Linked DNA regions of Notamacropus eugenii. The protein of the gene in region 2 interacts with the protein of the main gene of each other region in a biochemical or structural test. Links are inferred from orthologs where the notes say so. Each region holds a gene or a part of one and is shown on either strand. Other genes may lie near its edges.

The links.
Region 1: the proteins of PRKAR2A (region 2) and AKAP11 form a complex in vitro, tested with the Homo sapiens proteins (2 studies listed by BioGRID, with this or other methods). The link is inferred for Notamacropus eugenii from reciprocal best matches to the Homo sapiens genes PRKAR2A and AKAP11.
Region 3: the proteins of PRKAR2A (region 2) and RAB32 interact in a test that uses a peptide from one of them, tested with the Homo sapiens proteins (2 studies listed by BioGRID, with this or other methods). The link is inferred for Notamacropus eugenii from reciprocal best matches to the Homo sapiens genes PRKAR2A and RAB32.
Region 4: the proteins of PRKAR2A (region 2) and AKAP1 form a complex in vitro, tested with the Homo sapiens proteins (2 studies listed by BioGRID, with this or other methods). The link is inferred for Notamacropus eugenii from reciprocal best matches to the Homo sapiens genes PRKAR2A and AKAP1.

What each region holds. Positions count from the first base shown.
Region 1 is NC_092877.1:292,373,620-292,381,189, reverse strand, and holds the start of AKAP11 (A-kinase anchor protein 11), read right to left. Parts: upstream 3,022-7,570; 5' UTR 1,271-3,021; coding exon 848-1,270; intron 1-847. UniProt on the Homo sapiens protein: Binds to type II regulatory subunits of protein kinase A and anchors/targets them.
Region 2 is NC_092872.1:7,586,253-7,593,414, reverse strand, and holds the start of PRKAR2A (cAMP-dependent protein kinase type II-alpha regulatory subunit), read right to left. Parts: upstream 3,012-7,162; 5' UTR 2,928-3,011; coding exon 2,726-2,927; intron 2,604-2,725; exon of another isoform or gene 2,325-2,603; coding exon of another isoform or gene 2,276-2,324; intron 1-2,275. UniProt on the Homo sapiens protein: Regulatory subunit of the cAMP-dependent protein kinases involved in cAMP signaling in cells. Type II regulatory chains mediate membrane association by binding to anchoring proteins, including the MAP2 kinase.
Region 3 is NC_092873.1:238,083,206-238,090,622, reverse strand, and holds the start of RAB32 (ras-related protein Rab-32), read right to left. Parts: upstream 3,014-7,417; 5' UTR 2,697-3,013; coding exon 2,444-2,696; intron 1-2,443. UniProt on the Homo sapiens protein: The small GTPases Rab are key regulators of intracellular membrane trafficking, from the formation of transport vesicles to their fusion with membranes.
Region 4 is NC_092873.1:369,175,973-369,183,645, reverse strand, and holds the start of AKAP1 (A-kinase anchor protein 1, mitochondrial), read right to left. Parts: upstream 3,022-7,673; 5' UTR 2,938-3,021; intron 1,669-2,937; exon of another isoform or gene 1,601-1,668; intron 1-1,600.

The DNA.
Region 1 (7,570 bases), on a different chromosome or scaffold from region 2:
GGAAGACAGCAAATTGGATGCTGACATTTTTGCAAAAAGTAAAAAGGATCCATGGAGGTGAGACAAAATTCCAAAGGAGGTGAAGAGTTTGGTGATATGCTTGGGTAGCATGAACTTGGAAAGGAAAGTAATTTTTAAATCAATAAGTAGCAGCTTTTTAGGCTTACATTTTTAAGCTTCATTTAAAACTTAAACTCACAAGGTAAGTCCATGGTTCTCTGAGTTTGAATAGCAACTATGACATTGCTTAATTTTACTAATAAATGTTACTGTTATTACAACCTATGACAATGTTTAGAATATACCACTTTAAAGCATACCTAAGATTAGATCAATTAAGGAAAACAGATTTTACACAGATGTCAGTGTTAAGAGAATAAAGTGTATATCATGAGAGAAATCATGGATCTTAAAGTTAATTGTGTGTATAAGTAGGAGTATGCACTATGTTTATGTGTATATACATACATGTGCATTACAGATTAAATAAGAATAAAAAGCCTAAATGAGGAAATGGGAAATTGTAAATTCAACAATAAGGAGGACTTTTTCAGATCTCAAATAAAAATGCAAATTCACAGTCTTCAAGCCTAATTTTTAAAGGAATCTTTGACAATATTCTTCACAAATATCTAAATTTCCAAGACATAAAATCCTTCATTCTGATGCACAAGGAGATCACATACTTGGTTAACAAGTAATTGCTGCCTAAGCTCTGTCTGATCCTCTATCTGAATTTTTTTTAAATGTCCATGTTCATTTTAAAAATCAAATACTGGGGGAGGAGCCAAGAGCAGAGTAGACAGATACACATATGCTAGCTCCAAACCCACAGCCCATGAAATACCTGTAAAGAAGAACTCCCAACAAATTCAGGAGCAGCAGAAGTCACACAACAACGTAGCAGAGGAGATTTCTGTTCCAGAGAGACCTGAAAAACTGACCCGAAAGGTCCCTCGCACACCAGACCCGGAGCAGAGCCCAGCCCTGCCTTGGCCGCGAGACACCAAGAGGAGCAGATCCTAGAAGGCTTCAGGGACAGAATCTCCAGCAGTCGAGCAGGTCCCTCCATCCACAGGAGGCAAAAGTCAGTGAGACGGGCTTTTTGGTTCACAGAGAGGGGAGTGGGGTGCCCCCATAACTCAGGCCCCCTCAGGAGGCAGCAGCAGAGGCAGCAGGAGACAAGGGGGGGGGACTCCCAGAACAGGCAGCAGCTGGGATCCATTGTTGAAGGTCTCTGCATAAACCCCCTGAGGGAACTGAGCTCCATCAGGCAGCCCTACCCCAAAGTGAGCACCTGAAGTTGATCTCACACTGAATAGCATCCCCACCCCCACCAAAAGCCCTGAGGCTGGGAAGCAGCATTTGAATCTCAGACCCCAAGCCCTGGCTGGGTGGATCTGGAGGTGAGATGGGTGTGGAGAGGAAACTCAGAAGTCAAGTAACCTACTGGGAAAATGCCCAGAAAAGGGGAAAAAAATAAGACCACAGAAGGCTACTTTCTTGGTGAACATATATCTCCTCCCTTCCTTTCAGATGAGGAAGAACAATGCTTTACCATCAGGGAAAGATATAGAAATCAAGGCTTCTGTATCCCAAACAGGTAAAATAAATATTCAATGGGCTCAGGCCATGGAAGAGCTCAAAAAGGATTTTGAAAATCAAGTTAGAGAGGTAGAGGAAAAACTGGGAAGAGAAATGAGAGAGATGCAAGAAAGGCATGAAAAGCAGGTCAACACCTTGCTAAAGGAGACCCAAAAACATGCTGAAGAAAATAACACCTTGAAAAATAGGCTAACTCAATTGGCAAAAGAGGTTCAAGAAGCCAATGAGGAGAAGAATGCTTTCAAAAGCAGAATTAGCCAAATGGAAAAGGAGATTCAAAAGCTCACTGAAGAAAATAGTTCTTTCAAAATTAGAATGGAACAGATGGAGGCTAATGACTTTATGAGAAACCAAGAAATCACAAAACAAAACCAGAAGAATGAAAAAATGGAAGATAATGTGAAATATCGCATTGGAAAAACAACTGACCTGGGAAATAGATCCAGGAGAGACAATTTAAAAATTATGGGACTACCTGAAAGCCAGGATCAAAAAAAGAGCCTAGACATCACCTTTCATGAAATTATCAAGGAAAACCGCCCTGAGATTCTAGAACCAGAGGGCAAAATAAGTATTCAAGGAATCCACTGATCACCTCCTGAAAGAGATCCAAAAAGAGAAACTCCTAGGAACATTGTGGCCAAATTCCAGAGTTCCCTGGTCAAGGAGAAAATACTGCAAGCAGCTAGAAAGAAACAATGCAAGTATTGTGGAAATACAATCAGGATAACACAACATCTAGCAGCTTCTACATTAAGGGATCAAAGGGTGTGGAATATGATATTCCAGAAGTCAAAGGAACTAGGACTAAAACCAAGAATCACTTACCCAGCAAAACTAAGTATAATACTTCAGGGGAAAAATTGGTCTTTCAATGAAATAGAGGACTTTCAAGCACTCCTGATGAAAAGACCAGAGCTGAAAAGAAAATCTGACTTTAAACACAAGAATGAAGAGAAGCATGAAAAGGTAAACAGCAAAGAGAAGTCATAAAGGACTTACTAAAGTAGAACTGTTTACATTCCTACATGGAAAGACAATATTTGTAACTCTTGAAACTTGTCAGTATCTGGGTAGTGGGTAGGCACACACACACACACACATGCACACACACAAACAGACATACAGAGACAGAGAGCACAGAGTGAATTGAATAGGATGGGATCATATCTTACAAAAATGAAATTAAGTGGCGAGAGAGAAATATATTGGGAGGAGAAAGGGAGAAATCGAATGGGGCAAATTATCTCTCATAAAAGAAGCAAGCAAAAGCCTTTTTAGTGGAGGGAAAAAGAGGGGAGGTGAGGAAAAACATGAAGTTTACTCTCATCACATTCCACTAAAGGAAGGAATAAAATGCACACTCATTTTGGTATGAAAACCTATCTTACAATACAGGAAAGTGGGGGAGAAGGGGATAAGCAGGGTAGGCGGGATGATGGAAGGGAGGGCAATGGGAGGAGGGAACAATTTGAAGTCAACACTCTTGGGGAGGGACAGGATCAAAAGAGAGAATAGAAGCAATGGGGGGCAGGATAGGATGGAGGGAAATATAGTTAGTCTTACACAACACAACTATTATGGAAGTCATTTGCAAAACTACACAGACATGGCCTATACTGAATTGCTTGCCTTCCAAAGGGAATGGGTGGGGAGGGAGGGATGAAGAGAAGTTGGAACACAAAGTTATAGGAACAACTGTCCAGTACTGTTCTTGCTACTAGGAAATAAGAAATACAGGTAAAGGGGTATAGAAAGTTATCTGGCCCTACAGGACAAAAGAGAAGTTGGGGACAAGGGAAGGGAGGGATGATAGAAGAGAGGGCAGATTGGTGATAGGGGCAATTAGAATGCTTGGTGTTTTGGGGGGGGGACAAATGGGGAGAAAATTTGGAACCCAAAATTTTGTGAAAATGAATGTTAAAAGTTAAATAAATAAATTTTTTTAAAAAATAAATCTATGATGCTCTGAAAAAAAAAATCAAATACTATATTAAGATTACAAATTCCCAGTCATCTGCTTTATGTGACTCTTTCTGCTTGGGAGATGAAGTTAAACACAAGCCCTAAAACAAATAACAAAAATATGTATAGCAAACATAGAACATCCTGTGAAGAGTTAAATGCTTACAACCCATATACAGGTGTTTGAAGAAGGTGAGCAATAAATTTAACATGATGAATTCATACAAGGGAAAGAATAACAGTCATATAATTTCTCATCTACTTAATTAATATAAACTATTAATTTATTCTTTATGGTAAAACACTTCTATTCTTTGATACTAACTCCAAATCTATATAAATAATATTTTCGTAATAAATAATATTTAACTTAATATTTAATAATATTAATTAAATTAATTAATTAAATTAATGATGTTATATAATGTTCCAATATAACATAATAATAATAATATTATATAATAATATAATTAATAATATTTAATTTAATATTTAATATTCTATATAAACAATATTTTCTTAAGAAAACCTTGGGCAGCTAGATGGTGCAGGACATAGAACGCCAAGCTTGGAGTCAGGAAGGCCTGAGTTCAAATCCAGCTGTATGACCCTAAGCAGGTCACTTAACCCTGTCTGCCTCAGTTTCCTCATCATTAAAATAGACTGGAGAAGGAAATGGCAAACCACTACAGTATCTCTGCCAAAAAACTCCAAATGGGGTTATGAAATCAGACATAATTGAAACAAGTAAACAATAACAACAAAAAAGAATATCTTGAAGAAAAAAACCTGAAAAACCCATTATGTAAAAGTTTCATAATAGTTTTGGCCAAAAACATAAATTCTGATGTGAAAAATTTATATCATAAAAATTTATTGAGAGGTTTTAATCTGGGTAATTTTGATAATATAAAATTGAAAAGATTTTTGCACCTATAAAAACTAATGCTATTAAAATTAGAAGGGGAAAAGGTACCTGCGGAAATTTCTGCAGCAAGTTTCTCTAATGAAGCTCTCATATCAAAGACATATATTGAACTAATTTAAATTAAAGAGAAAGAGCCATTCCTTATAGATAAATATGGTCAAAGGATATGAATCTACAATTATTAAAGGAAAAATTCCATGCTATCGTGTGAAAAATATGTGAAAAAGTCATTCACTAATAATCAAATAAAAACAAGTTAAGCCTGATTGGCAAAAATAACAAAAGAGGAAAATGACAAATGTTGAAAAGCTTTGGGAAAACAGGTGCATTAATGCACCATTGGAGGAACTATGCACTATACCCCCAAAGTGACTAAATTCTGCATACCATTTCAACTAGCCAGACTACTACTAGGCCTACAAACCCAAGACATCAAGCAAAAAGGAAAAGGTGTCCTATATATACAAAAATATAAACTAAGGGGATTCCCAGCTACGAAGAAATAGTTAAACAGATTATGGTATGTAAATTATTGGACTATTCTTGTGCTTAAGAAATGAACAGTTTTAGTGGAAACCTGAAAGATCTTATAAACTGATAATACAACAAAGCATGCAAAACTAGGAGAACAATTTATATAATAACAACAACACTGTAACAAAAAACAACTGTGAAAGATTTCAGAATTGATTGATACAATAATAAAACAATGGTAAATCAGAGAACTTAAGATGAAACACACTGTCCATCTCCTGACAAAGAGTTCATAGATTTAAAATGCATAATGTGACAGACATTTTTTTGACATAGCTAATGTGGGGATTTGTTTTGCAGGACTACATATTTGTTATAAAAGTCTTCTTTTCCTTTTTATTGCTCAATATGTGCAGGAGGGGGAAGGGAAGAGCCAAATGCTTTTGAAAATGACTAACTGTTTAAAACTTTATTTACCTGTTTTTGAGGATCAGCATTTGTTTCTGATGACTTCTTTATATCCTTCAGAAAAATAACTTCCTTTTCACTTAGACTGCAGAAGTGGATAGAATTCAGAAGATCTGGGAGTTCCAGAGAAATTGTAGCTAAATCCTAATTTTAAAAACACATAGAAAAAGTATGAGACATGCTTAATTTAGCCCCTAACCATGAAAATATAATCTATTTGGTTAACAGATAAAATATAAAGTCTATAAGTTTAAAAAATCTATTTACGGAAAACCAACTTTCAAAGAATTTTTAAAAATAAACTTCACTTAAATTTTTATCTGCACTACCGAGTGTTCACAGATTTGCCCTAAAGGTTGTCAATATGTAAAATTATTTATGAGAGGCACCATGGAGTAGTGGAGAGGGCACTACACTTAAAGTCAGGAAGACCTGAGTTCAACTCTAGCCTGAGACACTTCATAGATTTGTGACTGGTTAATCAATCAAGCAACAAGAATTTATTAAGTGCTTACTATACTCTAGGTGCTAGACCCTGGGGATAAAAGTACAAAGTATGAAACAATCCCTACTCTCAAAGATTTTACATTCTAATACAGGAAACAAGTATATAAAAAACATGTAGAACACACACATTAACCTAATACAAATCCGTTTTACACCTATTTCCTCGAGCTCAAAGCAACTCTGATGTCATAAAAGAAAGCCCAAAGTTAACTGAAATTCAGTAAATAGAGTTGCAAATTCAAAAGAAGATATATAGCACATGCACACTAAATTGTTTTGCTATAACTCAGATGACATTCAATCCCTTCACTGTAATACTAACAAAAATTGTACTAAACTACATCAGGTAAAAATATAAAATTGGATAATACTTAATCTTATAAAATTAATGTTGTGTACTTATTATATTATTTAAATATCAAAATATGTAAGATTAAGATAAAATATTTTATCAAAACCACAACTTTAAAAAATCCTAATTTTTTTTCTTTCCCACCATGTATAATTTGTATTAAAGAGAAGTTCGCTTGTGGTCTGCACAATTCAGACCACTTTTGCGACTACTATGATTACTATTACTATGACTACTTTTTTCATGAAAGGAAAACTCAAACAGGTTAAAAGTACAAAACTTCGAGGGCAGATTGGGGTAAGGGGTAATCAGAATGCATGCTGTGTTGGGGTAGGTGGAAGGGAAAGATGGGGAAGAAATTGGAACTCAAAATCTTGTGGAAATGAATGGTGAAAACTAAAATTAAATTAATTTTTAAAAAGTACAAAACTTCCAAGGCACTGTCAGAAATTTTTAAAAAATCAAGTTTCAATTTTAAGAATTAAGAGATAATGGTACACTATAATGATAGGCAAGATTTTCATGGCATCATGAAGCTCGTTGAAATGACTTACAGAGGTTCCTTTTCACGCTCCACATTCTACTTTACCTGCACATGACCAGCATCTGTTTCTTCATTGAAACCTAGAAAGGTAACCTGGGAAAAAAAATAAACACAATTCTGCTAAGCGAAAATTTTCCTAATTGTCAGATCAGGACAGATGGACAGAGCTTGAAAGCCGGGTCAGAAGAACATTAAGCAGAAAAATTTTAATGGTTTATTGCAAGATGATTTTTTTAAAAATGTGATTCTAAATGTCTTATAACACAGTCTTAGATATAACAATCTTAACATGATCATTATTTTATGAACATTAAAGGATCAAGTTACAAGGCTGTACCAAGTAGGTACTTTAAATTCCTATAAGATTTTACCAAAAGTCTCTAAAGAACACACTCTCCCCCTCAACAGAATGATGAATAAAACAAAAGACTCATTTCCTCCTCGTTCCTCCTATCCTGTCTAACTCTCTCTTTTCCCAAATGACTTCCTGACAGCCCTATACTTCTGAATTGCCTCTTTCCAGAAGAATTCCACAATTGGGCTGCCTCTTCTGATTGGTCCTCCATACAAGAACCACATTAATCTTCTTTCTCACTTCACTTAAAATTCCTAGGCTGATCCTTCCAGCATCAACAACTTAGTTCAATAACCTTGTAATAAGTCCCCTCCACTTGCACCATAGGTACAGAGTATGTACCAGGTTTTGTATTGTTTTGCATCATTCTGC
Region 2 (7,162 bases):
GTATACTTTAAAAGGGAAAAAACTGTACATGGTACAGATTCATGGTTCCATTTGCAATCCTTCTTTTCTGTTCTATTTATATGAAAATGTTTATTAGTGTTTATAAAGTTCAAAATAACATAAGAGAAAATTTTTATTTAAATTTTAAAAAGTATGATAATGAAAAGTGTGTACCCACTAAATGGGAAACTGAACAAATTATAATATATGAATGGAACAGAATATTATTGTACCATAAATAAACAAATATGAGGAATTTAGTCTTCCAGTATTTCTCTAAAATGCTATCCAATGAAGCAAGCAGAACTGGGAGAACAAGATGACCACAGTAATGTAAATCCAAATAATACTAAAATAAATTCTTGACTAATCTAAAACCCTGAGAAGAAATGAAGCGCCTCTTTTCCTTTCAGTAGAGAGGTGGGGAACTCAAGGCGTGAAATACTACATACACTATCCAGATGAAGTCTCTGGGTTGGTTGGCTGGCCTTAACAGTTTTGTCTTTATTTTCTTTTGGTTTTGTTACCAGGAGGGGCTCATTTGGTGCGGGAATGGGGGAAATCACATGCCAATCACTTATATATAAAAACAAGAGGCATCAATAAAATATTTTTAAAATGATGGTAACAGAAATTTCAACAATCCTAAAGTAAAATACTGCTTTGAGGGTCAAAAAAAGAGCTCTCCCCATTTTACAGATAAGGGAGCCTGAAATAAGAACAGGTTTGACAACTTATCCAAGGCCACACATCAAGCAAATGGCACAGCCAGAACTGGAATAAGCCAACTCCTGATTCCAGGGACTCTTCTGGAAAACACCTTGTAAAATAGCTTGGTTAAGTTAAAGGTCTCCTAAAACACAGACTTTTTTTTTTTACTTTCATGGTATGAATGAAAACATATGTGCCTATCAAAATGAATCTGTCAATCATTAACTAGTACCTAGTCGGGTGCTTGCACCTCAGTAGACATCTTTCTTAAAAGCTTAGGAATTCATAGCTTCATAGGATTTAGAATGGTATAGGACCTTAAAGAGAAATCATCTAGACCAACGTTTTCATTTTACACATGAAAAACAGGCCAGGAGAGAAGTAACTGGACCACTAACTTTCCAGTAGCCCCAAGTGCTCTAACTCCAAATGTAGTGCTCTTTCCACTACTACACAAATGGCTAAAAATATTAGTTCCATGGTGGTTGATAATCGTACCCATGAAAATACAAGTCCCCCCTGCAAGTTTTTCTCAAGGTAAGCTAGACTACCTTCTCCATAAAACATTCCGAAGCAATCTAGGAAACATAATTTCTCTTTGACAATTTTAACTAATAGGCTGCACCTTAAATTACAATGTTGCTTTTCTCCTTTCTTCCAACAAGTTCGTTAAACATTAGCCAAATTTTATTTAGAGAAATTTCTACATATAAAATCGTGTGTGGTTGTGAATGAAGAAACGAAACAAAACTGATTATAGAACCAGATTTCTCAAACTGCAACAAATCAAGTCAGTTCTGGGATGGAAATGTAAACAAAAGAATGTTCAAGCTTTTCCTGTTCCAGTGCCTAATTATCTTGAAATAAAACCGAAGAAGAGACTGAAATTTTAGAATTTTAATTCATTTATTTAGACAATGTTTTAGTTCCTAACTGGTGTGTTAAAAAAGGGATGTGATTTGAGCGACCTGGAAAGGAAAAAAATAAATATTTTGGGTTTTAAAAGTCAAGTATGTTTAATACCTAGCTCGGTATATTTGCAACATGAATGTGTGCCTTTGAAAGCCTGTTCAATGCATGAGGATAATTCCCTGCAGTCTCATTAACATCGAACCACAACACACGCAAAAACCAAGTGAATATTCCACAACTGTTCTAAAGGCCTTTTAAAAACAGTCAAATAAATATGTTAAACAAAATTACACATTAAAAAAAAATTAAACTGTACCTAAGGTCTGGTTCAACACCAGGCAAATTTTAAATTGTCCTTAAATTACGCTAGGGTTTCTAAATATTACTGATGTTAGTTCCAAAACGTTCCAGCAGGTCTTTAAAATGGTCCTTCTGACAGGAATTTTTTTTTTTTGTCAGTGATTACATATGCTTTCGCTTTCCCCGTATGCCAACTGAAGGCCTGCCCTAAGAAGGTGGGCATTAATCCAATCCTCCAGCTACCTAGTCTCATGTGCTCGTTCTTAAGACAAAACACTCCGGTGGGGAGACCTCCCCGCCCTCCAGCACCCCCCTCCCCAGCCCCGGAGGACAAAAGGTGACATATTCTAACAAGATAAGGAGGTCTGCTTCTTGTGGAGTACCACACATGGCACACTCATCTCAAACCAGCGGGTCCACCAGACCGCGGGGGACGGAGGCCTTAGCTGTCAGAGGAGTCGAGGTCACTCTGGGGTCTCTGCATTTCACAGCGCCAGCGCCGCCCGCAAGCTCTCCCCCGCCCCGAAGGGTGCCAAGGGGCATCCGCCCTCCGGGCTCCGGGGGCACAAGCCGTTGCCAGAACGTTGTTCCCAGGAGGAACTCAGAAACGTCTGGGGGAGGGGGACGGTACAGGGGACGCGGACGGAGGGAGAGCGGGGCTCCCACGGCGGCAGAGGGAGGGCCGGGGGCCCCCGAGACCCGAAGGAGGCCGCAGTCGGCGGGCGGGTTGGCCCGGGCGGACCGGGCCGGGGGAGGGGGAGGGGCCGGGCCCTGGGGGGTCCGAGGCGGCCCCGGCTCTTACGTTCAAAGTCCTCGTCTTCCTCGTCCTCGATGTCTCTGGCCTCGCCCTTGTCGCCGTCCACGCCGGCGTTGCGGCTGTCCCGCAGGCGGGTGAAGTAGTCCACGGCGAAGTCCACCAGGTTTTCGGGGCGGTTCCTCAGCACCTCCACCGTGTAGCCCTGCAGGAGCTCCGTGAGCCCGGGCGGGATCTCGATGTTGCTCATGGCGGGGCCGGGGGCGGGGGCCGCTGGCCTGCCTGCCTGCCTCCCTCCCTCGCACGCGGCCGGGCCGGGCCGCAGGGGCGGCGGCTCGGCGCGCTCGGGCGGGCCGGGCCGGGGCCGAGGCCGAGGCGCTCACACGCCGCGGGGCCCGGCGCGCAGGGGGCGGTTCCTCGGCCGCGGCACGGGCCCGGGCGCCGGGCAGCGGCTCGTTCTCGCCCGCGGCTCTCGCTGGCCTGGGGGGCGCAGCGCGCGCCCCGCCGCCCGGCCGCCGCCTGGCTCGCCGCCGCCGCTGGGCTTCCTCCGCGCGGAGCCGCCGCCCCCTTCCCTCGCCGCGGGCTCGGGCTGCGGGCGCCTCGGCCGCCGCTGTCACACTGCTAGCGCGACGGGAGGGAGGGAAGGACTAGCGCGGCGGAGGGGGCGGCGCATGCGTGCCGCGCCTCCCCACGCTCCCGGGCGGCCGCGGCGCCTCCGCAGCCTCCCGCCCCCGCCCTGGGCCCCGGAGCTGGGAGGGGCGGCCGCGTCCTGCGGGCCTGGGTTCCTTAACGCGGAGCGTATTCCTGGGTGTTACCTGCCGGGAGCGCCCCTAAGGTTTACCGCCAAGCCTGCCACGCGCGCTGTCTCCCTGGGACCTCGCAGCCCTCGGCGTAATGGTCCTTATTTTTGTCAAAGAGGAAACTGAGGCTTCCTCGAGCTGGGTCTGCGTGACATTCTCACCCGGGTCTTCCGGCCGCAAGGCTAGACTCTGCTCCGGAAACTGAGGCCGGAAAGTCGAGTGGGTTACCCACGGGGGCCCAGGGTGCAAGCGCAGGGAGCCGAGTGTGGTGGAGAGCCTGAGGTCTGGCGTCAAAGTCCGGCCGGCTCCCGGCTCTCTCCCTCAGGCCGCCCCGGGCGAGTCCCTTCCTCTCCGGGCCCCAGGTTCCTCCTTCGCGCAGCCCCTTTACGAGGCAGAGGCACAGAGCCCAGGCACACTTGGGGGCTTCCTGATTTTCTGGCTCATAGCATGCACCCAAGGAAACTGTGGGAACATCTGGTAGTGCCGCATGGGGAGACACTATTTTTGCTCTCCATGTGCTAACCAAGGCTCAAGGTGGAGAATACCTTTGTTGAAAAATTAAAGAAAGCTCAAAAATCTTGAACCTGAGCCGTTGAGAATGTCGGGATGCTCCCACCTCCATGCAGTAAGAACCCTCCATTCAGAAACCTGTAGAGTTGAGAGACACCAGGCCCCTTTAAGGCTCTCATTAAATGCAGTGCCTTATCGATGCTCTACAGTTCAAACTTAGCGCCATTATCTTCTCCATGCCATCAGATATCCAACATCCCCTTCCTTGCTACAGTCAAAAGCTTCTAGCCAGTTGTAGTCGTCTTTCTAATGGCATCACTCAACTTTGCTTCTATGATCCCTTACACATGGCTGCTCTTCTGTACCAAGATGGTACTTGTTTATCACCATGATCCTCTCCAGAAGAACAGTGGAAAGCAGCTAGCCCGTCAAGGGATTTCCCTGGCACCTCAGCTAAGAGTTTAAATTCTTGCATGCATCCAAGGACACAGTACTTTCCAATTTTGAAGCCCGTTCTTAAATACCCAGGTCCTATTTGCCCATCCTCTACCTACACATTCTGGATTGCTCAAAGGAATCCATTTCCCACTTGTGCTGAATTTTATCTCATGTTAAGTCGCCCCAATTTGCCCCATCTCTATGCCAGGACCGTGATGGAAATGCCTCTTTTTCACTTCAGCATCTGCCTCAGTCTTGGACTTCAGAGGGTTATTCTCATTCTCCAACCACTTTTCTTTTTTCAAGGCAATTGGGGTTAAGTGACTTGCCCAGGATCACACTGCTAGAAAAGTGTTAAATGTCTGATTTGAACTCAGGTCCTCCTGACTCCAGGCCTGCTGCTCTATCCACTGTTCCACCTTAGCTGCCCCTTTCTAACCAGTTTTCTGTCCAGTCTTCCTCTGGGATTACTGATTTAGAATATATAAATAACCATTCTCTGAAAGACTGTCAAACAGGCGAAAACAGCAGCTCCCATTCCCAGGCAATGTGCCTTTGGCAACCCTATCATGAGAACAAAATGTGTCCTTATCCTGTCTATAAAATAAGGGATGTAAACTAGAGGATTCTTAAAATGCATTGCAGCTGACATTTTTTTGTCCAGATGTCTAATGTAGTTCTGACCTTCGATGGTCATTTGAATAACGGAACCAGCCAGTCCTTGGAGCCAGGCTTCCTGACTCGAAATTCAGAGGTCTTTCCTAAACTTATGCTGTACATCATCAAAACCCACTCCCATTCCCTCTCATCAGAACTGTTCTTACAACCCTGTAAACTTAGACTTACCCTGAACTGTTCAAAGGCCCCTCTTTTCTTAGGACAGAGGAAGGTCCTCTTTCTTGTCAAAACAAAGGTTGTAAACAGAAAACAGAAATAATTATAGGTCCCATTTTCCCAAACACTTTTGTTATATTATTCTCATTTTACAGAGTAAACTGAGGTTCATAGAGAAGAGACTTGCCCAGTCCTAAAGTCTTCTGACTCTAAATATGTTTTTTCCACTGACAAGCATCTGCTTCATACTATATTATACCAGACCAGGGAGGTGGAGAAAAACAGAATTAAATGAACTGTCTCCTTTTCTTATCTTATGAGCCAGAGACCTTTATGGAGTCCTTCACAATCTGGCTCCAATCCACTTGGATAGCCTTATCCCAAAGTACTAGGTCGAGCCAAACTAGACCATTCTTGGCCCATTGCTTCTCTATTTTCTACTGCTCCCCTTACCATGCAGGGTTTTGTGCTGAATTATCTAGCCTCCCTACATTTGCTCATATACGGGATGGGAAACATTTGGTTCCCCCTCAATGATGTAATTGCAGAATGTAGAGGGGCAGAGAACTAGGTATTGTTAACTAGGTACTGAGGCAGCTAGGTGGTGCAGTGGATAGAGCACCAGGGCAGGAGTCAGGAGGACCTCAGTTCAAATCTCACCTCAGACACTTGACACTCACTAGCTGTGTGACCCTGGGCAAGTCACTTAACCCCAACTGCCTCCTCCTGGGTCATCTGCAGTCATCCTGATGGATATCCAGACACTGGATTCAGATGGCTCTGGAGGAGAAGTGAGGCTGGTGACCTGCACAGCCCTCCCTCCCTCAAAACAGAGTCAGTTGCAAGTCATGTCATCATTTCTCTGATGGCATCGTCTTCTTCCTCTAATGTAATTAGAGGGGCAACTTGAGATTGGCTAACTGAAAACTGGCCACGTTCTGGACGGCTTTAAATAGCTGATTTAGTCAGATGTGGTAATGGTTAGACAATAAGCATTTATTAAACACATACTTTAATTTATTAAGCAAAAAAGTGTACAAACATGGTATAAAAAGGATAAATAAGAAATAATTAACAGAAAGAAGGCACCAGATGGAAGTGAAATTGATAAAAGCTTCCTAAAGAAGATGAGATTTTAGTCCATACTTAACAGGGAAAGCAATACATAGTGAGTACAAGTTAGGGTAATAGTCCAGAACAGGTGCTATGCTTGAAAGGTCTCTAGTGCCTGGAACAGACTCCTTCTTTATCATTGCCTTTCCAAGGAAGATCTATCCAATGTGCTGGCTCTTTAAGTATGAGGGCAGCAATTCAGTTAGACACCTTTTATCTTTCACCCTTCTCTACTCAATGAACATCTCTCATTTCCTGGTCATATTTTTTTCCTTTCTTTTTACAATTCCTTAATTTGCCGTTTTTGCAAAACTAACCAATATATACACCAAATCTGACAGTATATGCAGGGTTCTATACCCATAATTACATCCCATCTGCAAAGAAAAGGACATGTATTTTCATTTCTCTTCTTTAGGAACATGCTTGGTCACTACTCCATGATGTTACATTTTATGGGGTTTTGGGGTGTTCTTTCCCTATGCACTAAGTACATTATTTTTCTGCTCCGCTTTCTTTACTTGGTATCAGTTCAAATAAATCTATTCTTCTTTGCATTTTTTATATTCACCCTTTATTATGATCCAATATATTCATATACCACAGGTTTTTTTCTTATTATTCCTCATTTATGGGCTTTCCTTTGTTTCCACTTCTTTGCCAATAGAAAAAATGCTGCCATAAATATTTTGTTGTCTGTGAGGCCTTTCCTTCTACCTTGGACATTCTTGTGCCTGGCAGCGAGATCTCTGAGTCAAAGGATCAAGTGGCCATTTTAGTCCTTCTGGTA
Region 3 (7,417 bases), on a different chromosome or scaffold from region 2:
ATAGAGTACTGGCCCTGGAGTCAGGAGGATCTGAGTTCAAATAGGGTCTCCGACATTTGATACTTAGTAGCTATGTGGCCCTGGGGAAGTCACTTAATTTCTGATTGCTTTGAAAAATAAAAATAAAAAAAGAGTCAGTCATCATGTTTAAATTCCATTTAGACAAAAGGCCACAACTGAAAAGAGGTCTCAAAAAGAATGATGATCACATGCTGAAGAACTATTTAAAAGGACAGATTTTGTTAGGAAGCAAGACAGTTATTGAGTTCTGTGCAATCACAGGAAGTATTTCAAAAGAGATTTCTCTCATATTTATGTGGCTTACAAAGAAGACTTTTCAACGGATGGCTTCTGAAAAGTCACTGGCAGGAAGGTTGAGCCAAGGTCTGGAAACTTCATTTCATATTAATCACTGACTGACTCTAAGCAAAGTACAATTTATATAAGCATTTCCATAACTGAGATTTAAAAAGAGGGAAATATTTTCTCAACAAAAGTAGCTTTAGGCATGGATTTCTAAACCGTATAGGACAAGAGCCTGGGGTTTCTAACAGCAGTTAGCTGCGCAACCTTGGGGTTACTAAGGGCCTAAGGGCCTCAGTTTCCTTATTTCTATAAGATAATCAGTTGACTGATAAGGACCCACTCAGCTCTATCAATCTCCTGTTTCCTACTTTTGTTGTTATTAAGTGTTAGAACACATATAAAATGTTTACCAAAAAGAAAAAAAGATAACTTCTGAAAAGAATTCTTGGACTACTTCAATTCCCCAAAAGCTCACTGTGAACTTTAGAGCACTCTTTAAGTTCAACTTGTGTGACTTACTGCTAGCTAAGATTATTTCTTGCTTCCTGCTCCTTAAAAAATTTCCAACCAACCTATTCTGCCAAGCATCTCTTTAAACAAATTCAAACAAGCAAGCTCCATGAGGGCAGGTACAGTCTTTTGCCTCCTTTATACCCAGGGGTTACTACTGTGCCTGGCACAAAGTAGCTACTTATCAAAGTTTAAGGGCCTACTGGCCTATTAAGGGTAAGGCTCAGGCAAAGAGGATATGAATACAAAGAAAAGTGAAGACAGTTGAAGCCCTCATAGAAGCCTGCATTCCCTTCTCTCCAGCTATGGTTCCTGCCTGGCACATTTTAAAATCTCTTTAAATGCTCAATTGTCACCACCTCGTTTTGTTTTTTTCTAAGTCAGCGAAGAATTGCTATTTAAATTTGCTTAGGATCCTGCATTGGTCAATTTCCAGCCAGCAGATAAATTACTCTTTTTAACTGTTTCCCTTTCCTGTCCTATATTTGGCAGAAAAATGGGTATATCCAGCATGGCGATTTAAGGATTCAGATTTAAAAAATAAGTTTCAGTACCATCCTAAAAAGAGTTCTGTTTCCCTACCAAGTTTGTTATTATTGTTGTCTGTGGGGTTTTTGTGTGTGTGTGTGGTTATTTTTTCCCCTAGGAAGACTCCTAGGAAGGCAGAAACTCAGCACTGATTTTTATTTATTTACTGGAATGGGGTGGAGGAGAGGAGGGCTGTACTTATGATATCCTTGGCACAGTGAACGCCCAGCGAGTAAACTCTATCAAGGCATTTCAGCTCCCGCGCCTCAATTTTTGCCTTAAAGAGAACTGACTTGGGCACTAAGGTTAAGTGACTTAAGAGATTTTCAGTGCCCAGGATCACAAAGATAGTATGTGCCCTGCTCAGAATTTGAACACAGGTCTTCCTGACCCCGGGCCCGCTCTCTATACATCATGAGAGACATTAATTAAAGTCTTTTAATTTCAAAACTGGGGAAGCTGAACATCTGCAGCAACTCCCTTCTGGGCCCAAGTGCGCAGTGGATGCCCCCAACCCAGCTGCCTTCTCCTGGGGAGGAAGCACCCAGGACAATCAATGAATCAATAAACAGCTGACGCCCCGAAGCTGCCTCCAGGACAGATGAGGAGGCACTGAGAACCACCAATCGTGCCACAGTCAATCAGTATTTATTAGGCAATCACTATGTATCAGGCACTGTGCTAAGAGCGATGGATACAAAGAAGCAGCAGAAGGCTGGGCTTGTCTTCAAGAAACTTACGGTCTAATGAAGGAGAGAACTTGCAAACATGTACACACACACACACACACACACACACACACACACACACACACACACACACACACACACACACACACACACACACACACACACACACACACACACACACACACACACACACACACACACACACACACACACACACACACACACACACACACACACACACACACCCCCCTAAATTCTGGATAAACAAGACATAATTAGCAGAGGGGAGGCCCTGGAACGGGTTGGGTTGGGGAAGCCTCCCCGCAGGAGGCGGGACCGTAGCTGGCACCTAAAGGAAGCGGAGCGGGGGGCGGAGGAGGCAGGACCCTGGCGGGGTCCCCATCCCTTACCGGCAATATCCCAGAGCTGCAGCCGGACCAGGGTCCTGCTGTCCCAGTTGAGGACTTTGAGGGCGAAGTCCACGCCGATGGTGGCCCGGTAGTGCTGAGAGAAGAGCTGGTGCACGTACCTCTTGATGATGCTCGTCTTGCCCACCCCAAGCTCGCCGATGACCAGCACCTTGAAGAGGTGCTCCTGGATGTCGGGCACCGCGGCGCTCGCAGCCGGCCCCGGGCCGGGCTCCCCGGACGCCCCTCCAGCCATCCCCGCCGCGGCTCCGAGTCCCGGGCCCAGGTGTCCCCCGCTCCGCGATGCAGGCGCCCGGGGACAGCGCAGAACTCGCAGAACTTTCTTCTAACTCTCAACTTGGTCGCAGCAACTTTCCACTCCCTCCTCCGCGGTCTACACGCCGCCTGACTCGAGTCACAGGACCTGGAACCTTCCGCCTTATAACAGCCCCCTCCTACGGGGCGGGGAAGGGGCTGACGAGGGGAGGAGACAGCCTCGGGCCCTCCCTCCTAGTCCCGGCCCGAGGACTGAGCTCCTCGGCTGCGGTTTTCTTTCCCCTCCTCCCTTCTCCCTTCCCCCTTGCCTTTGGGGGTAAATAAGGCCCTGAGCTCCTGGGAAGACGTGGACGCTGCGCCCCACCTCGCAGACGCACCGCACCCACCACCTCTCCTGGGCTGGGCAGACGTGAGGAGTAAATCTGCCAAACAGGCCTGCTGGGGCGCTGCGGGAAGCTCACACTTCCCACCTGTTGCACACCCGCCTGACCGGGCTAGACTGCAGGCAGTCCGGGCTTCGAGCCGCAGGGCACTTCCGTTTTGTCCCCAGGGTTCCTGAGAGCCCCCATGGGGTGCAATACGTGGAGGACAGGGTCCCCGCCTCTCTGCCCACAGAGGAGTTAACTGACCCTCTGCTTCTAATCCAGCATTAAGGAAGCGACGCTGGTTTCAGCTTCTAGGACTAAGCCCATCCCCTTTCAACCCCGGACTGGGACATTTGGTGCAGATGGGGTTCAAGCCCCAGGGGAGCCTGGTTTCTAATGAGAGAAGAACTGGGTTGTCTCTCGTACTCCTTAATCGCCCTCCAGGACAGTCCAGGGAGAAATTATTTAAAGATTGGCTTTGGGACTAGTGTTCAGGTAATCCCCAAAAGGAGGAGTATAAAAGTACTCAGCTAACAATATGATTTGGGTATGAGACGGGCATTTTAGTCCTCCGGGCAAAAGAAATGCTAAACCCAGATGACCTCATAGCAAACCTGTGCAGAACAACTTCCAAACAGGAATCAGAAACAGCTTCTAACTATTGTTATAATCTGCTGGGAAGCTGATAACTTAAAACCTCATCTGAACATAAAAGTGTGCAGGACTGCTCATTAAGCATTTTCCATTTCCCCTCAGCTCTGCACTGCTTCCGTCAAAGTTCAAGTCCTCTGGCAAGCCAAGTCAGGACCTTAGCCTCCCCTTCCATTTTCTTCAGTACAGAAATTCCCTGCTTCCAGTCAACTTCTGTTAATGGACCTCTCTACCTCCAAGCCTAGATGTGTCCCTTTTGATGTTCAGTCAACTACTTGAGTGAAAGGAAACATTTAGTCAGTTAGCTAGCATTTATCAATCACACAGTGCACAGAGCTGGTCAGAGGCCTAGATGCAAACTTCCCTAAAGAAGCCTCCTTATGGGAGTTGCCCCACGAGAAAGGTAGCTATAGTTCTGGAGTGGAGCAGGGCCAGCCTGCTTATCTGAAACCCTCACCCCTTACTGCAAGAAATCTGTTAAGTGATGCTGCCTGTAGGGCCTCAGGAGAGCCTGAACTTCTCTCTCTTTTTAAAATGCCCATTGAATCATCAGCTCCTCCAGCATAGCATCCTGCAAAGGGTATCCTGGTATCAAAGCACCAAGTCCTTTACCCACTGAGCCAACATGTGACTACAAAGCCTCCAAGGAGTTTATCATCTCTGAGTGATCATGTTCCAGAAATTTCCTGGGAAGCTCTGGGCACAAGCTAGCTAAGATAGCCCCAACAGGCCAAAGCAACCTCTGATAAACTGATCCTAGAAGCTGTTTTAAGAGGGAGGACAAGGTTAGAGGAGACCGAGATCAAAACCTTGTTGTTCAGTTGTCCTTTTTTTTTCAGTTGTATTCCACTCTTCATGATTCCATTTGAGGTTTTCTTGGCAAAGAAACCAGAGTGGTTTGTCTTTTCTTTCTTCAGATCATTTTACAGATGAGGAAACTGAGGCAAACAGGATTAAGTGACTTGCCTGGATCACACAGTTAGTGAGTATCTGAAGCTGGATTTGAACTGAGGTCTTCTTGACTCTAGGCCTGGAACTCTATCCACTGTGCCATCTAGCTGCCCCTAGTACCTTACTTGGGAGCAAAGAGTGGTTGGCATATAAGCAGAAAATGTCTGGGGGTATCCTAAGGAAAGGAGATGACTGATTTCTTTCATAAGGATTGAGGGTCAGAATGGTTACTTGGCCTTTAGTCATACATAGCAAATAGGAAAGCTGTGATTTCAATTCAGACCTTTTACCAATATATGCTAGCTATGGTCAGCTCCAATCCCCTGCCCTCAGGAATATTCATGTCAAATGCTAAAGTCATACACTGTACAAAGCTGTCAGAAGTAGGATTCTATGTCCTTAGAGACAGATTTAAAAACAAAAATTTTCTCACAATGAGATTTTAAAACCTTAGGACCATGTATCACTAAAACCAACATCACTGTCTCTCAAGCAGCAGAGTACTCTAACAAGATAGCATCTAGAACAACTTCTCTTCCCTCAGGCCTTCTTCAGGTTCCCCAGGAGGACTGTCCTCTGTCAAGTGAGTTCAGAGACCCTGCCATGGAGGAGACCGTTTTGAGAACTTCTCTTCTGAAACTGCTTTCAGAGCCTGTAGTACATAATTTTGAGCACCTCAGTGGGAGGTAAAGGACTGACTTAATCCTTGAAGGTAAGATTTTTGTTTATTTGTTTTTGTTTTTGTTTTTTTAAACAGCCAAAAGTCATTCAGGATCAAGTCTGTTGCTAGAGGTAGGTTATCAAATTTGATAATGTTGTGTTGGTTGGTTAAATCATGAAAGTGTGAATAGGAGTGATTTTCTATTATGGTAGATGAACCAACTCATTTTAATGAATGCAGTAATTAAAAAAAATAAACATGGAATTTCCTCAAGTAACTACTTTCAAGAGAACATTATTCATTTGTCTGTATGAGTTCTACTGATTCTGTTTTTCTAAAGATAATGATGAATATGGGTAGTTTCTCCCAGAATGCTACCTTCTGTGGTTACTCTTTTCTCTTCAAATCCTGCCATCTTTTAGTCCAGGCCCACATTCATTTTTGTCTTCTCTATGAGAGATGTCATAGTATAGTAGAAGAAAAGCTGACCTGGTCTAGAAGCCAGGAACCCCTCTCATCTCTGACGTTCACTGGCCATGTCAATCTGGGCAAGTTATTTAACCTCTCAGTTTTCTAGGCAACTAACACTATGAGTTGTATAGAAGGTGTTACTCTGTATTGGAAGATGGAGTTTTCTCACCTTATACTGATAAAATCAAGTCCAGTCCTTTGCCTTGATAACTTCCTGATAACAGATGACCCTGTCTCCAGTTTCTGTTATTGTCAGTCTATCTTTTATACAGCTAGCAGTAACTTAACACAGTGCCTGACACATAGTTGTGATTGTGTTGTGGTTTGTCCATTATTGAAGAAGACCATGACATCAGGGAGATAATATGTTTTGCAACTGACTGTGATTTGAGTGAGGAAGGGTTGTGCAAGGTCACCGGCCTCACTTTCTCCTCCAGAGTCATCTGGGCCCAGTGGCCAGATGTAGATCAGGATGACTGGAGATGACCCAGGATGCACATAGTAGGTGCTTAACAAGTGCTTATTGACTGAGTGAGTACCAAAATACTTAAGTCATAGGTCTGCCCACATCACTCCCCTACTCAAAACCTTCCCAGGTTCCTTAGTGCCCATAAACTAAAAATTGACAGACCTATCATTGAAAGTCTTCTCCAATTTGATTCCATCCAACCTTTCTAGCCCTAGTTTATATTATCTCCCATCACACACTCTACCTTGTAGCATAATTGACCTACTAGCTTTTTCTCTACCTCTTCTCAACTCTGTGCACTCTGATAGGCTTTCCCCTAGAATACATTCTTTCCCCATTTCCAGATGTTGAAATCCTTCTTTCCTTCAAGGCTCAGCTCAGGTATTGCCTTCTCTAGGAAGCTTCCCTGATCCTTCCTTACATGTTCCTAGAGCACTTTGCTTAGATTTGTTCTTTGTACCTTTCACATTCTACCTCATGTCATTATTATTTCTGTACATGTCATATCCTACCTAGAGGAGTTTATGTCCCTTCAAGGCAGATATGTCTGTGTTTTTATTTTTGTGTTACCAGTCCACAGAACAAAGCTGTGCGTCCAGTAGCCATTTAATAAATGTTTGTTGAACTGAAAAGCACTTAAGAGATTAGCTGTTAAATTGTTTTTTAGTGATGTCTGACTTTCTGTGACCTCATCTGGGGTTTTCTTGGCAGAGATAACTAAAATGGTTTGCCATTTCCTTCTCCAACTCATTTTACAGATGAGCAACTGAGGCAAACAAGGTTAAATGACTTGCCCAAGGTCATACAGCAAGTAAGTGTCTGAGGCCAGATTTGAACTTAGGAAGATAAATCTTCCTGACTCTTGGCCCTGCAATCTAACTGCCTTCCATTTAAGATGCAAAGTAGCTAATAATCAAGACCGATATAAATATATCTTTTATATACTTTATTTCAGAAACATGACCAAAAATGATACCAATTGTTTCCAGAAACAATGCACATCTCATCTTCTGACAATATAATAATAAAACCAATGAACAAGTATACATCAAGTTGCACATGTATAACATATATTGCCACCATCTGGGGGGAGGGGAGGAAGAAGAAGAGAGAATTTGGAACTCAAAATTTTT
Region 4 (7,673 bases), on a different chromosome or scaffold from region 2:
ATGGCTTTTGTCTTGTGGGTAGGAGCGTTTGATAAATGGGGGAGAGAGGGGAGAATTAAGTAAGCATTTAACTACTGCCAAACTCACTCAAGTCAATTATCTACAATTTCTGGAGTATCATCTAATGTAAGAATAACCCTTGGAATTCTAGTCCCTTCAACTGATCTCCATATACCTAGCAGGGTGTCAAGGGAGTCTTACAGTTGGCGCTCCTTATTTTATCACCATAATCCAAACAAGTTCTCTTTTCCACTGCAAAGAGCCACGTACATTGGACTGAAAAGTGGCTTCCAATCCAGGCTACGCTACTTAATACTCTGTGCAACTGTGTCCCCTCCCAACTATCTTACATTTATTCTGAACACAGGTACATACATACATTGTCTTCCCCATAGGCAGTAATTTTTGGAAAGCTGGTATCTTTTCCTCCTTTTAATCTCCAATATCTAACATAGTAAGCACTTTAAAAATATTTGTTTTCTTCAGTTCTCTTTGCCCCAGGTTCTTTTCAGTCCTGTATTTTTATGCCCAGCAGTTTACCCAGCAAAGAGCACATAGAATGGGACTTAATAAATGCTTGTTAATTGACCTGGTTAAAAAAAAAAAAAGAAAAGAAAAAAGAGGGAGTTCAACTAAAGAATCTCACCCTAGCACTTACACTTCAGTCACATAACTAGGAAGAGATAAAGCCCTTATAAAAACACAATCTCATTTACTTGCCCTTTAAACACAAATAATTAAAAGCACATGTTATTTTATTTGGAATAAAAATTATTATCCTATTTTGCCTTAGGGATTTAAAAAACTGCAGTGTTAAATGTTAGTTTGGTTCTTTGAGGGATTCTTAAATTCTGATCCTTTTACTGCTACACGTGCTTTGAAAAGAGAAAGGGCTGAGATCTCTTCCGAGGTGAACAGGAAAGAAACTCCACTTTACTGCTAACAGGCAGAGTGAATCCAAATGAAGACAATCAGGTAATACCAAGTGATACTACAGGGTTTTTATTGTTTTTGTTTTTAAAAAAACAGTACAAAGTATCATTTAAGTATTAAGAACAGTTCACTTCTAGCCAGCCAAAGCTTTGTTTTCTACACATAACATGGGCTATAAAACAATGGAAGGGCCAACAAGTTTTGGATTTAGTTCCTATTATAGATTATAGGTACCTCAATTTATGATTCCTACATGATTTATGTTTATTTAAATTGTGTTAACAAAGAACCCTTCCCTCATTGGTGATTAAAACTCGCGCGGGGAGGGGAGGAGAGGAGAGGGAGAAGATTGTGCAGGCTGTACAAAGTCGTTTCAGCTGAGATTGGTTTCACTTCGTAGAAATACTCAAATACCAAGTAGTCTGTGCTTAAGTTAGAGGACAATAGTTAAACTAGCCTCTTTTAAAAAAAAAATTCACACTATACCAACTTAAAAGGTTTCTCTTTAGGTGTTTCTACCTTCACTTAGAGCAAAGACAACTAGTTATCGGTAACAGCAGATGGGGAAAGTGGGAACCTGCTGGAAAGGGCATCTGCTACCAGAACTAGGATCAAAATGTCAGCCTGTTTCTATTTTGACACCTGACCTTGCCCCCAGTTTACACACCTTCTGCTTGTCGTTCACCTCCACTTCCCAATTCTGCCCCCAGGAAAGTGAGGGTGGAATAAGTTTTCCTAAAGAAGGGGAAAGGAAAAAACAACTGGATCTCAGTTACATAACCTTCAGGCACTTCCCGTAGACTCAATGAACAGCACAGGGCCAAAAACACAAAACAAAAACCCGTTAGTCTCATGCACTTTCTGCCAGCTGCCGTCCAATAGCGCTGAGAGCCACTAGAGAGAAAAGAAAGGCTGGCCCAACTCAGCGCCCGCCCCCTCTGTCCTGAGGCTGAGTCGAGTCCTGCCCAAGCACCTTCTCTCTAGCTTTGTTTTAAGCTGTGATTGCAAACAGGTGCGTGCGCCCCCCCAAGAGACCCAGCACCCAGGTCGCTGCCGCAGGTCCTGGGGGAATCCCCTCTGCTCGGTAACATTCGTCCAACAACCACCCCGGGGGCCTCTCCCACGAAGCACGGAACTCCACCAGCTTTTCTCTAGGCGTGACAACTCCTGCTTTGGAGTCTCCATCACGTCCCATTGCTTCCTCTCCCCAAACACTAGCCAAGAAGGGTTTTTCTCCTCGTTCCTCAGCACTCATCCCCGGGCTCACACGGTCGATTTGGCAAAATACTTCTCCGCTAACGTCTACCACGGAGCAAAGCCACATCAGTTAAGCTATCAAGGGGCCTGGCTCTCGGTTACCACCTGCCTCACTCGGACCTGGGACGGGACCGGGAACGGGACCGGGGCCTAAGGGCGGATGACATTTTTCTTCAGTTGCTGTTCAAGGCTAGTATCTCTAGGAGCTGGGTGGGCAAGGAGGGGGGCGGGAGAGCCAGTCCTCGGACCCCACCCCCGGCCCCACCCCACGCCAGGGCTGCGCCCTTGGCATCCGGTTCTATCCCAAGGCCCCCTCTGCCCGCTCGGGCTGGGTACACACGACCTTTGGAAAGTAAACGCACGCGGAGCCGGGCGACCTTGGGTGGGACACGCTCAGCTCGGCGGCTTTCTCGAAGCGGAGCGCGCGGCGCGGGCAGCCGGGCAGGGAGGGAGGAGCGGCCAGAAGGAGAAGTTAGAGGGAAGCACCAGCCCAGGACCGGCCGAGGACGGCGGCGCTGGGGAAGGTGCGGACACACATGGCTGGGAGAACGAGGGCAAGGAGGGGTCGCTGCTCCGCCCCGGGCTTCCCCCGCACCTCTCAGCTGTCCCCACGAGCCGGGAAGACAGGACAGGCGTGGAAGTGAAGAGGAGAGCCCGGGGCCAAACGCCCGCCGACCGCTGCCTCCCAACCCAGCCGGGGCAGAGGCGGGGAGATCTCCCCCCCCCACCCCGATCACCCACACTTACGAGCTCTTAGGCGATCGCCCCCCCAGGAGCAGTCAGTTCACGTGCAGCTACCGCTGCCCCCGCCCACCCCCGACCCCGCCGCCGCCCCCTTCTCCGCCTCGGCCCAGCGACTCGGTTCGGCTCGGGCCGCTCCCCCACGTGCTCAGCCTGGCTAGGGGAACTCTGAGACTTTAAATAGTGAAGGCGCGCGCCGACAACGTGCACGCGCTGAGAAACCCCGCCCCCCTCCTCCGCTCCGCCTCCCAGCTCCTCGCGGTTTACCCTCGGCTCCGCCTCTAAGACACTACGCACGCGCACTGCTCCACCTTCTCCGCCCCGCCCACACCCAACTCCTTGCTGCCTCTCCTTCACGCACGCGCAATTCCATGCTTCCCTGCCCTCCACCTACCGCCCTGCCTTCATTCACTTACGCACGCACGGGTTCCACGCTCCCGTCCTCCCTCCCTCCTTTCTCCCCCGCCCCCACCCAACTCCTTACAACCCCGCCTTCTCCTCCTGCGCACGCGTGGCCCAATGATCCATCTTTCCCGTCCTTTGGCTCCTCTGCTCCCCCAACAGTGCCTTTCCCCGCTGCGCACGCGCACTCAGCATCCCTCGCTCCTTAATTTGCTTGTCCCTCTCCTCTGCGGAGAGTTGACCGTGTGTTCCATCTTCTCTGGCTCAGACCTGGGAGCCCAAACTCTGTACGAGTCTGGACCTAAGTGTTAGGGAGGCGGTGTAGGGGGTGACCCCGGCGTGAGCCTTCCCTTCCTCCTTCTGTGACCTTGGACAGTAGTCTCAGCTCAGCCACCACCTTGCAGAGTGACCTTAGACAAGTCGCCTTCCCTTTCTGGACCTCACTCGTCTCCTCTGAAAGGTCCCCTCCAACTCTAACAAAGCTTTTCTGCCGTAGGGAGGACTCAAGCACTGAGTGCCCACTTCGTGCCAAACACAGTGCAATGTGCTAGGGATACAAAGAAAGGCAGAAAACCCCAGTCCTTGCTGTCAGGGCGCTGGCGTTGTAACGGGAGAGATGATGGCCAAACCACCATAGCACAGTAGCTAGGTACAGGACCAGCTGGAGACATTAGCATTAGCACTCAGGCTATTAAAAAAATAAAAGTTCCTGGGGAGCGCCCCCCAGCCCACATGTGCCTCCGATGGGACGGCGAAAGGCTGTGTCCCTGCGGATCGCTGGTACCTAAAACCCAAGATAAAGGGTTCCTTGCCATTTGAACAAAGCCATCAAGGTGAAGATGAAACGTGCTCCACCAGTTGTCCTAATTGTGGGATTATGATTCATGAGCAAAGAGGCTCACCAGAGGGGAGGTAGGCACTGCTGGCTCCTTGGCTGCCTAGGAAACAGGCTCCGCGACTGTCCCAGGAGGGCCTGGAGGGAGGGATTGGACCTGGAGACACCTTCTCACTCTGAAGGCTGACTTCCCCCGTGGAAGAGTCTCTGATCCAAGGGTGGGGAACCTGGGGCCTCGAGGCCACATATGGCCTCCTAGATCCTTGGGTGCAGCCTCTTGACTGAGTCCAAGTTTTACAGAACAAATCCTTGTGGGGATTTATTCTGTGAAGTTTGGATTAAGTCAAAGGGCTGCGCTTGATCACCTAGAGGCTGAAGGTTCCCCAGCCCTTGTCTGGTCTGTTCCACACTGAGACCAACTAGCTTGTCTCACAGAGAGTTCTGTGAGAAGTCACTAGAGAAGAATTATTTTTAAAACACATCATTAAAATTGACATTTTAAATAATTCTTTCAAACCAGGCTTTTATTAAATGCAAATGTGTATTAGGCTTGGTTAAAATTCATCAAAGGATTTTTGGGGTTTAATTGCATCCTCCCCTGTCCACTCCTACATGTGTGTTAGACTTCTTAACACTTCTATAACTTTTTGATACAAAAAGACGCCTGTCTCCAGGATTTTTAATGACAGTAGGTCTGTAGAGTTGGTAAATTTCTGCTGTGTACCATACAATGGATTATATTCTGCTACCAGATTCTCATCAGTGATGGGCCTTTGTCCCCACAAATTATGTGGATCATAATAATAAAAACCTCCATTAGGAGGAAGAATTGATGTTTAATTAGTGTTTGTAAAGTTGGGGGTATTCTGTAGGTCAGGGACAAATGTCTGTTAAATTGTAAATGTAGTTTTTTTAATGTAGAAGAGATCTAGAAGGCTTGCTTTTTAAAAGCATATATATATACTATGTATAAATATTTATGTTTATTATGTATTATATTTATATGTCATAGATGAAATATTATATACACATACTAAAGCTATAAATAAAATACTGGAAAATGACCACATAGGGTAGAGATAATACAAATGGGTTGGACAAAAGGGTGAACTAAACCCAAGGAGTGGAATGGTGAAATACTTATATATCAGGGGTTAGATTGGAGTACTCATCATGAGGCATAATGCTGAGTTCTCCTGGCAACTTGTAGGGACACCATGTAGGTAAGTATGAAGGACTTGCTGCTTTCTGATGACATAGAAAAACCCTCAGTGGTCTCTTCGTTGGAAACCTTGTTTTCTCACTCCCCATCTAGGGTGAGGGTTGTGAATTGGAGAGAATGCGTTAGAGGATTGGCTATTGAGATAAGAAGAGCCATTCATAAAGAAGGCTTTAAAAGGAGTAACTCAGATTTCTGGTGAGAGGTAGAAGAGACGCCCATCCACCCCCACCTGGGGCCTGGCAGCATGGCAGCTTCTAGAGCAGAGCACAGAATATGTGTCCCGTCTAGGGGAGCCTGAGCCTAAGACTGGGCCTTGTGCCCCTGGCTGCCTCATCTGTTCTATGTTCTGCCTCTAAGCATCAATGACTGAATATTGATCCTGCAATAGCTCTGACTAATCTTAAAGGCAGCCTCATGGGTTTAAGAAGTCAGGATCTCCTGGGGCCCCTAGTTGAAGCTGATTCAAAACAGAAGGATGGCCAACAGAAAAAGGAATTTGACTTCTGATCTAGCTTGCCAGAAGATGTTGACCTGGAGGAAGACAGTGCAGAACTGAGCCAAAGGTGGAATACACATCCATCAGACCCATAAAATGGTCCCTCATTGCTTTAGGTATCAACCTCACAGGAGAACATGATATTAGTTATCAATTATTTCTACTTGCTTAAGTCTTTGTCATCTTTACCCTTGACATTTTTCACTCTCCAAACAGGACCACCAGAAGCCATACTAGGGAGGAGCTAAACCACTTGACTCTCCACTCTGTCTTTGGGCAGCAGATGGGTTAGACTAGAGACAGACTGGTGATGGTTGATTGCTTTGGGTCATGTGATAAGCAGCAGAGAAGGTGTAGTGGTAACCGTATATTTTTCACTGGCCCCCCAAAATCCTACATGCTCTACAAGCCTGCTCTAGGACCCACTGTCCTCATTTTCAAGGAAGCTATTTCCACTCTGCCTCAGCTCAAGTGGCCTGGAAGGGACTCTTGGACCTACAACTATTGCCCAGGTCAACAATTAAGTGTAAGAGTGGAGATCAATTGACTCAATTCAATCCAATCATGCCACCCCACTCAAATAAGTTACAAGGTGCTACACCCAGAGTGTTCTCAACTCTGTCAGGAAAGGACAATTAGTGAATTCAAGGGGTAAAATTAGGCATGACCTAGGTCTAGACTTTAACCAATCGATCATAGGCTTTAGGTGAAGTATGAAAAAATCTTTGATCATTGTAGAAGTTCTTGAAAATCATTGAATGAACTGGAATAATTGTGCATAGCAAGTCTTTTTACAATTGGTTAAGATAACTTATTTGTATCATGAGGGTCATTTAAAAAACATCCAGCCAGCTTGGATTCAACTCCTGGTAACTTAGGGTGAAATAGATGATAGATAGATAGATAGATAGATAGATAGATAGATAGATAGATAGATAGATAGATAGCCCTTCAGAAAGAATTGCCTGGCATGGTGGGGAGAAGAAGAGAAAAATAAGGCTTACTTGGTCCTTGGTCTCATACTCCTTCCCCTCCCATCTTTGCAAAGAGGAAGACCATGTCAACTTTGAAGGGTCTGGAGGATCTGGGATTTCCTAGACCTCTTATCAGCATCACTGGACCAGGCTGAGGAAAGGCAGATTCAGAGGTCTACAAGGAATTCAGCAGAAGGACTGCACCATACCTAATGGAGACATCTTGAGGATTACTATAAAAAAAACAAATTTCAGGAGCGGTGAGTTACCCCATCACCATACATTCTCAATAACGTGAGCCCACTTGCAGCTAGGGCCCTCTTGCTATGTACTTGTGGGAGAATGTGGTACAGATTTTTAGGGGAGTATTTTGTACCAACAATATCACTATGGTAAAATGCCCCTTTCTAAAAGCTAATTAAAACCAGGAGAACTTTGTACACAGCAACAATCACAGTGTTCGAGGAATTTTTCTGGTAGACTTAGTACTTCATAGCAATTGAAGGACTTAAAAAATTCCCAATGGACTCTTGAGGCAAAATGCCTTCCACATTCAGAGAAAGAATTATGAAATTCGATCGCAGAATGAAGCAGATCATTTTCTTTTGTATTATGTTTTGTTTTATGGTTTCTCCAATTCATTTTAATTCTTCTATGCAACATGACTAAGGTGAAAATGTATTTAATAGGAATGTATGTGTAGAACCTATATAAAATTGTATGCTGTCTCAGGGAGAGAGTGGGAAAGGAGGGGGAAAGGTGGGGGAGGGGGAAAAAAATCTAAGATATATGGAAGTGATTGTAGAACACTGA